2 linked regions of the Caenorhabditis elegans genome follow. The protein of the gene in region 1 interacts with the protein of each later gene in a pairwise test. Each region holds a gene or a part of one and is shown in the gene's direction. Other genes may lie near its edges.

Evidence for each region.
Region 2: the proteins of txbp-3 (region 1) and ZK1128.7 interact in a two-hybrid assay, tested with the Caenorhabditis elegans proteins (2 studies listed by BioGRID).

What each region holds. Positions count from the first base shown.
Region 1 is NC_003281.10:5,045,424-5,049,215, reverse strand, and holds txbp-3 (Tax1-binding protein 3 homolog), read left to right. Parts: upstream 1-2,054; 5' UTR 2,055-2,073; coding exon 2,074-2,328; intron 2,329-2,808; coding exon 2,809-2,928; 3' UTR 2,929-3,040; downstream 3,041-3,792. Other genes in the region: vtip-1 (Vha Twelve Interacting Protein), read right to left, coding at 522-606, 655-754, 803-922, 970-1,092; C45G9.14 (uncharacterized protein), read right to left, coding at 3,563-3,728, 3,776-3,792. UniProt on the Caenorhabditis elegans protein: May regulate a number of protein-protein interactions by competing for PDZ domain binding sites.
Region 2 is NC_003281.10:10,135,167-10,139,732, forward strand, and holds ZK1128.7 (SHSP domain-containing protein), read left to right. Parts: upstream 1-1,839; 5' UTR 1,840-1,905; coding exon 1,906-2,093; intron 2,094-2,142; coding exon 2,143-2,191; intron 2,192-3,046; coding exon 3,047-3,255; intron 3,256-3,591; coding exon 3,592-3,670; intron 3,671-3,723; coding exon 3,724-3,816; 3' UTR 3,817-3,958; downstream 3,959-4,566.

The sequences.
Region 1 (3,792 bases):
GTATCGTCAAAGGGGAAATTGTTTTAAAATGTAGTATTTGTACTCAAACTTCCAATTATTGCAGAAGAAAAACGGAAAAATCCGTTAACATTCAGCATTTAGCCGTTGAAATCGACGAAAGTGGCTGAAAGTGGCTGAATTTGAATTTCGCGCGCAAATGAAAAGCAACCACGCAACTTTTAGGTCATATTCGTAAACAAAATATTGATTTAAATGTAATTTTTTCGAACTTTAATTCGCTTTTCTTTCTCAAAAAGTTCAAGAAAACTGGGAAGAAGAAATTGTATTGAGTATTTTTTCAAAGGACAATACCAGAACAAATAAAAATTCGAAAGATCGTCGTGGCCTAGGATTTCTCTAGTTAATTTTTGAAGATTTTTTCGACTTAAAATGCTGAATCTAAACGGATTTTTCCCGTTTTTGTTTTGTAATATTCTTAAGTTTGAGCACGAATACTACATTTTAAAACAATTTTCCCATTGACGATACTCCTTCTTTAAATGATTTATTTTAATTCTTACGTCATGATAAAATTGTTTCGATGTCCTGGTTCAGCTTGCTTCACAATATACATATCGCCACTATCAGTGATTGTCATGGAATTTACTAAAAAAAAATATATTTTAAAAAATGTTTTATACCAGAAAAACTTACATAATCCTTCGATAAACGACTCATGAACAACATCTCCATCAAGTGAAATTACTCTTAAAATTGTCGTTCGATCAGAGAATTCAGCTGATGTGTAGATTATCTGTAAATTTGAATAATTAATAACTTAAGTGAAAATAATTTATTGTACCCTGTCTTTGTACGAAATTACTTGTGGAAATGGGGCCATTTTCTTGAAGAATTTCTTGTCTTCGTGCAGAGTTCGGAGAGTTTTTCCGTTGAATTTATATAAACCGCCTTTTGAAGCTACCTGAAAAATGAATAATTTTTAATTGTTGTTGTTTAATTATAATATACCCATATATTGTTGTCTTGGTCGTAAACAACGTTATAAGGAACTCTTGCCCCTCTTGGCTCCAAATGAAGAAGCATTTCATCAAATCGTTGATAATCACTGGTGTCTGACGGTTCTTGGGTCATTTTTATGCTGAAAATTGAAAATTTATTAGATAATTTATCATTATATTTAGCAAAAGAAATGAGAGTCAACGATTAACTAAAAATTTAAGAGTTTTGCGCAAGAGAAGTGTCTAAAAATCAATAAAAAATTTCACCATACCCAGCTCGCTGCGAGACCTCAATCAATAATTTGAATGCACTCCTTTAAAACCACAGTAATCGGCGAAGTGAATTTGAATATTATTAGATTGAACAACATTTTCAAAGTGAATTCACATTTAAAATAAAGTGAAAATAAAGAAGATTTTGGAGTTAAACATGGTTTAAAAGTGGGAAAAATGTTTTAATTTGAACAAAAATGGTTTTTGAAAATAAATCGATTTCTCAAACATATATTGTGGAAATTGGAAAATCTACAGTACCTAGCATTAAAAAACTTCTTTTCCGCTACTGATTTTAGATTTTTAGATATTCTTTTTTCTTGACTATATTGTTTTACATTGAAATAATTCATTATTAATTATTATAATATCTTTAAAAATATGCCTGCAAATAGAAACATGCAAGACTGCAAGATTTGGAAACGTTAAATAAAAAATTGAGGGAAAAAGATTATTCAATACAAGTAAAACCAACTTTCCATGGCCGCAAAAAGCGATGTTTGGTCTTATTTTTTCAATTTCTCTTCCACGGCCACCAATTCAATTATTCTCTTATCGGCAACACTTGTACAAGGTCGCCATCTCAATGACAATCCGAACGGAATTGAGTAAAAATGTATGCAAATTCGGCCATGAGAGTAGGAAGATGAGATAGTGTAAGAAAAATGGAGACCAGAGGGGGTTGAAGACAATGAGTCACACCTCATGTTGTATGTGTGCGTTTCATCTTTGTCCGTGTTCCGACACATTTAAACATTAGTTTTTGAACAAAAAACCTCATTTTCTTTTCAATTTCACTTTTAAATACTTTCCAATTTTCAGATCAAAAAAAAATAATACAATGACAGCATATGGTCATATGCCAGGAGAAGCAATTGAATGTTTGTCAATTGCTGTTGAATTGCACAAACAAGAAGTTATTGATGCTCATGGACAAGTCACAATTCGAGTTGGATTTAAAATTGGTGGAGGAATTGATCAAGATCCAACAAAAGCGCCATTCAAATATCCGGATTCTGGAGTTTATATCACAAACGTCGAATCAGGATCGCCGGCGGATGTGGCTGGATTGAGAAAGCATGATAAGATTCTGCAGGTAATTATGAAATTTTTAAGTTTTCTTTTCCCAGAGACAAATGATCAAACTTTCTTGCCAACATATACATTGTTAATTAAGAGTACTGTAAACTTACTGCCGAATTTTCATCGATCTTGCATAGTTTTTCTCATGAGTTTTTGGAAATTTTTGTGTTGTTATATTTCAAATAAATAAATATACTTTCATCAAAAAACCATGCAAAATCGATGAAAATTCAGCAGAAATGAGAATTTGAAATTACAGTACTCTTCTTAGGCAATATTTTCTCATTCAACATAAATTTGCGTGAATTAAACTGAAGTGAATTAAACATTTGGCCAATTAAAAAATTTTTGGTAGACAAACTCAAGAACGTTCGAACATTAGCTTAACATAAGTTTCCAAAAAATTGAAAACTCCTCAAAATTTTTCTAGATGATATTGAGAACATCCTCTAACAAACGGACACCCCAACTAAATAATATTCTCTATTTTCAGGTCAATGGAGCAGATTTCACAATGATGACTCATGATCGAGCTGTGAAGTTTATCAAACAATCAAAAGTACTTCATATGCTTGTTGCAAGAGCCGATCTTCCTCCTGTCAGTCTTCATTAACTCAATCTCATTTGTTCCGTTCACATTCAAACTTGCCCTTTTCAATTATCTCTCAAACTCAATTCTGCGCATATATTTTGATATTTATCGGGTTCAAAAATAAAAAATTTTACTTTTTTGACGACACAATGCATCATTTGACAAGAAAAATTGGTCATTCGTGTTTGGAAAAATGAACTGAAAATTTCATAATTGCCTGTAAATTTTTATCATACAAAAATGAATTATTTCAATGTAAAAAATAAAGTAAAACAAAAGAAATTATAAATCTGAAATCTGTCGCAATAAATTTGTTAAATTAAAACATTTTTTCCACTTTTAAACTAGTTGGGATATTAAAATCTTTGTTGCTTTCACTTTATTTGAATTGTGTATACACTCTGAAAATGTTTTTAAATCTAAATAATGAATTTCAAATTTACTACAAGGATTACTGTAGTTTAAAAGGAACACACGTGATTTCACTTGATGGATTCTTGGAACAAATTCAATTGTGTAAACACAGAAAAAGTGATGTACTAACAAAATGTAGTATTATATGCAAATGAAACTTGTAGTACATACTAAAGTCTTCTCGAATCATCTCGAAAATAATAAAATAGTATTTTTTAAAACTTTTAAAAACTAGAAACATTCAATTTTTATCAGAACTCTGAAATTCAAAATTAATATTATCTTCATCATCGGATGAATCCATAGTTTTCCCTTCTTCTTCATATAATTTCAGCAAAGTTCTCTCTTTTTGTTTTCTTTCTTCCGTCACTTTTTCTAATTTTTCCATTAATTTCGTCATTTGAACTCTGCAAAATCTCGGTTTTTTCTGTTCCTAAAACTTTGAAAAACTAACTCTTCTCTCCTCGAAAA
Region 2 (4,566 bases), 5.1 Mb from region 1:
CTTGAATATTTTTTCTTTAACTAAAAAAACCTAATAAACAGAAATTTTAGCAAATTTTCTAAGAGATGAAATTTTGATTCTTTGGGTCATAATTTTTTTTGCTATACTCACTTTAGATCCTTTTTTGGATTTCTGTGCAAAGCCAAAATATTAAAAAATTTTTAAAAAATTAAATTTTTTTTTAATTTTCAAAATGAAACTAATTTTTAGAAAACTAGAAAACCAAAAAACCTTAATATATTTTTTTTGAAATTAAAAAAAAATTCGTAGCTTATACCTATTTCCGACTCGTCAGAAAATAGAAGCAAAACCAATAAAAACACGGAATTGGGAATATTTATTTGTTCTCCTTTCCAATTTAATTTATCAATTAGTTCGTGAGTTTTAAAAAAGTACACAGAAATCTCAAAAAAAATTTCTGCTCTCCCTTCCGGTCTTTCGTTGAAAACTTAAAAAAAAAAAAGTTTCTTGCCGTCATGTGTCTTCATTTTTTTGCAATTTTTGTTTCGTTCCTGATTTCTCATGTCATATGACCTTCTGTTCCGAGTTTCACTAACTCATTTTTGACAAAACAAATATTCTAAAAATTCTTCTCTCCCCCCTGCAATGTCATTCTCTATAAAAGTGCAAGTGACCGTTTCAATACCTACAAAACAGGTGTGTCAAGTGGTCACGGCCCGTTTTCTTTTAGGATTGAATCGTGTGAATCTGTTAGAAATATAAATATTTAATTTCAGATGACTGGGCGATACAGTAGAAGTGTACAACGGGAACCTCAGAAGCAGTACGTTTCACAAAGTCAGGTTAGTTACTTAAATTGTTAAAGCTAATTTTTTAAAGGTCAACAATAATAATTGAAGTAATTGAAATAGTCTGAATCACTCTTTAAAAATTATTAATGAAGAAAATCTGCAAAAATAAAAATACTCCTAAATTAAAACAATAATTGGTCGATCAACATATAATTTTTCTACAATATTTATATTTTATATTGCTTCAAATATTTGCATTTAAACATTGAAGGGGTTTAAAAAGCTCTACATTTCCAAAAGTTTGACTGGAAATTTTTTAACATTTAAAAGTTTCCAGAGTGTTTTATAATGATATTCATTCAGTGTGTATAGTAATAAATACTTAAACTTTAATATGAATTTCCTAATAACTGGATATTTCAATAAAAAATGTTCCATGCAGTTTTTGGCAATACTTCTAAAGTTCGTCAACTAATTTGTAGCGAGACTGTTTTGTAGTGTCTGCATCTTTTGTAGTAGTCTTCATCTTTTGTTTTGTGTCTGCATCTTTTGTTTTGTAGTGTCTGCATCTTTGCGATTCCAATTTCTAGTGTATTTTTGCCTCGAAACAATCAAGTTTTTAATTTTTAGATTTGTTCTTAACTTTCAAATTTGGATTATCATATGGTTTATCATTTTAATGTATTCTAGGGAAACCTACAAAAAATTGCCACATTTTCTGACTACAATTCTGCTTCAGTTCTAAAACAAGAATTTCCGTAAAACTTTTCACACTTTATGAAAACGCCATAAATCATTAGTGGACTTCACCAGGAAACATTTAATTTCCGGTTATTCAAAAAACTTCAAAACTTGACAGAGGAAGTTGAAACGCACACACACACATACATACAAACACTCAAAAAAATAAACGAGGTAGTAGCTGCGCGGTTTTCACTGTTTCCACAACTACGAGGCGCCGCTTCAAACAATTTTCACGTATATTGAAAGTGAGGCATGTTCTATATTTCGTTTCTTTCTCTATTTCTTTTTGTTGTTTGTTCATCTCCTATACATCTCCGCCATATCGTGTACTCTCTCGCTTTTCTCTTATTCCTCTATTTCCACATGTCAAGCAGCACCTAGTTACCTCTCACTTATTCTTTCTGGAAACATGCATCATGTTGATTTTGATGATGATGATCTTGACAGTTATCTTGAAGGCTCTGTTTGGTCTGAAAAGCCGTCTGCTTCTGAAATATTCTCATCTAAACCTGGAGATGTTATCAGTGTATTTCCACGTTCTTCACATTCTAATATGATTTATGGATATCCTATTAACTACAAGGAGACCGTTTTTCCGTAACTTTCAAGTTCAAAGTTTAAATTTAAGATTGAATAAACTTTTCAGTACCCATCGAGGCCCTCCAGATCAATCTTATGATAGCTATTATACAAAGGTAACGACTCTAGGCATTTTCTCACTACCGAAAAAAAGTAGGAACAGGAAAATCGTTAGCGAGGATCTACTCTAAATACATTTATAATAGTTTAACTTGACCGAATATTATAATGAAACACGCCAAAATTTTTTTAGTATTTGCAAAATTTTCAGCCAAAGTTTTGGCATATTGCCATTTTTAGAAGCGTGTAATTTTTTTCCTATTTCAAGCGGTTGAAAAATTAAGAAATTTCAACAATTTTTGTTGGAAAATTTTCTGGCAATCTCTATTTACCTTCAAAAACAAATGTGAGCAAATAGAGCAAATGAAACCGCTTTTGCACCTAAATTCAAAGTGCATAGTGCATTTATGAACTAGATTCAAAACAGAAATTAACTTTATCTAAAAGACTAATCATACGAATTGTTAATTTGAAAGCTTGAAAATGTTCCAATTTTTTGGGGTTTTTTGAACCTACAGTAACTAGATATAATCATTCAAAAGATCGTAGTAGGAAATCGGCAGTAGGAGAATGGTTAAAAATCCCTTACTTGGTATATAACACTTTTCAAATAAATTCTAAAGTTTTTTAAAATTTAAAGTCAAAATGTAGCAAAGTTGAGTTTGAAAAACGACCATAATAAGAAAGGGTTCCATTGTAACAACTGAAGAACTCCAATTTTTGAAATTTTTGGCAAATTACGAAAACCTTGAACATAATTCTTTTCAAAGGATTGAATTTATAAATTCTTATTTATTTTCAAATTAACATGAATTTTTGAATTCAACTTTCATTTTCAAAAGCAGAACTAGTCAGCCCCCCATTCCCCCGAGTGCGCTGCCAAAGTAATCAAATAAAATGAAGTGATTTAGATCACAGAAAGCCGACCGAGATCACCAGGACCTGTTGCTGGAGCTGGAGAAATTACGAATACTAGCCATGGATTCACAATTGAAATCGACGTCTTCCATTTTATGCCAGAAGAGATTAAAGTTGTGCTCACAGATGATACGTTGAGCATTTCAGGAGAACGTTTTGAATCCACTGGCGATGGACATACTCTTCGAAGAAGTTTTTCGAGGTAGGTTATGCTTGGATGTTTTTTAGGGTTAATTCATTTTTCCAAATATCAATCGCCAATAGTTTGCACTTACCAAAGAGTTCCAGAAGTTTTCCAAATCTTCCATAAATTTTTGATGTTTTACTTTCTAAAAATCTAAAAAGCCAGAAAAATCCAATAATTTTTCAAAATTTCAAAAAAGTTGATAACTTTCCAGAAGTTCCTCCTGAAAGACAAACAATTTGAATTCCCCGCCATAATTTTTCTGATCACTTTTGAATTTTCCAATAAGTGTTTCTCCCAGAACTTGAATTCCCGCTAAAAGATTTTAAAAAATACATCTATTTTTTATTTCAGAAAGTACTCAATCCCGGACGATGTTCATCTAGACACTATTCGAAGTCACCTCACCAATTCTGGAGTTCTCATCATTAATGTTAGTTTCTCAAAAAACCTCTGGATTTCAATTCTACAAAATACATATTCCAGGGTTCTCGTAAAGGATGGCGTGAGACAAGCATCTCAAGCTATCACCCAACAACTCAACGAAACGTGGCAAGAAGTGTGACATCAATTGTTTAAAAATACAAATACTCAAGTACAATGTAACTATAGCTACCCTGTGATGCTTTCCGCATTCATATTTTTCTCGAAATTTTCTTCCTGTGAAATTTACTCCCCCGTGCATGACATATTTTGCTTTCATATGAACCATTTATTTTTGACATCTTTGGTGTGACTGTCCTATGCAAAAATTTACTTTATTTTTGCCTAGATTTGGAAACAAACCCTCACATATGCTGGGCATTAAAGCCCAGAACTTATAAACATAATGAAGAACCAAGGTTATTATTTTTACTTTTATTAAAATATGAAATTTAAAGCTTATAGTGCTTAAAAAATTCGTTTCTTGAAGTTTTTTTTTAGATGTTTGAATTATTTTTTAATTTAATTTTTGTGTGTTCCACAACAAATAAGAAACAACGGAACATTCTCCATTAGTCAACGTTTTTTTCTGCAAATCACCGAAAAGCTGTTCGTCAACATCATGAATAAGCAAGTGCCAGAGAATAGAAAAATAACAGAGCTAATTCGACAGAATACTTGATCAAACTTCTTGAAAAAAATAAGAAAAATATCTGACTAAATATTTAAAATAATTATATATTTTTGAATTAAAATACCTGAATTAAAGTATCTTCAATTCATTTTTTTACATACTGCACTTTTTTGCAAAAAAAAATTTTGGAATTTTGGGAGAATTTCTATAAAAATGGTTTGCTAATTTTTTTTTAGTATTATTGGTACGTTTTTGTACCATGATATCAATTT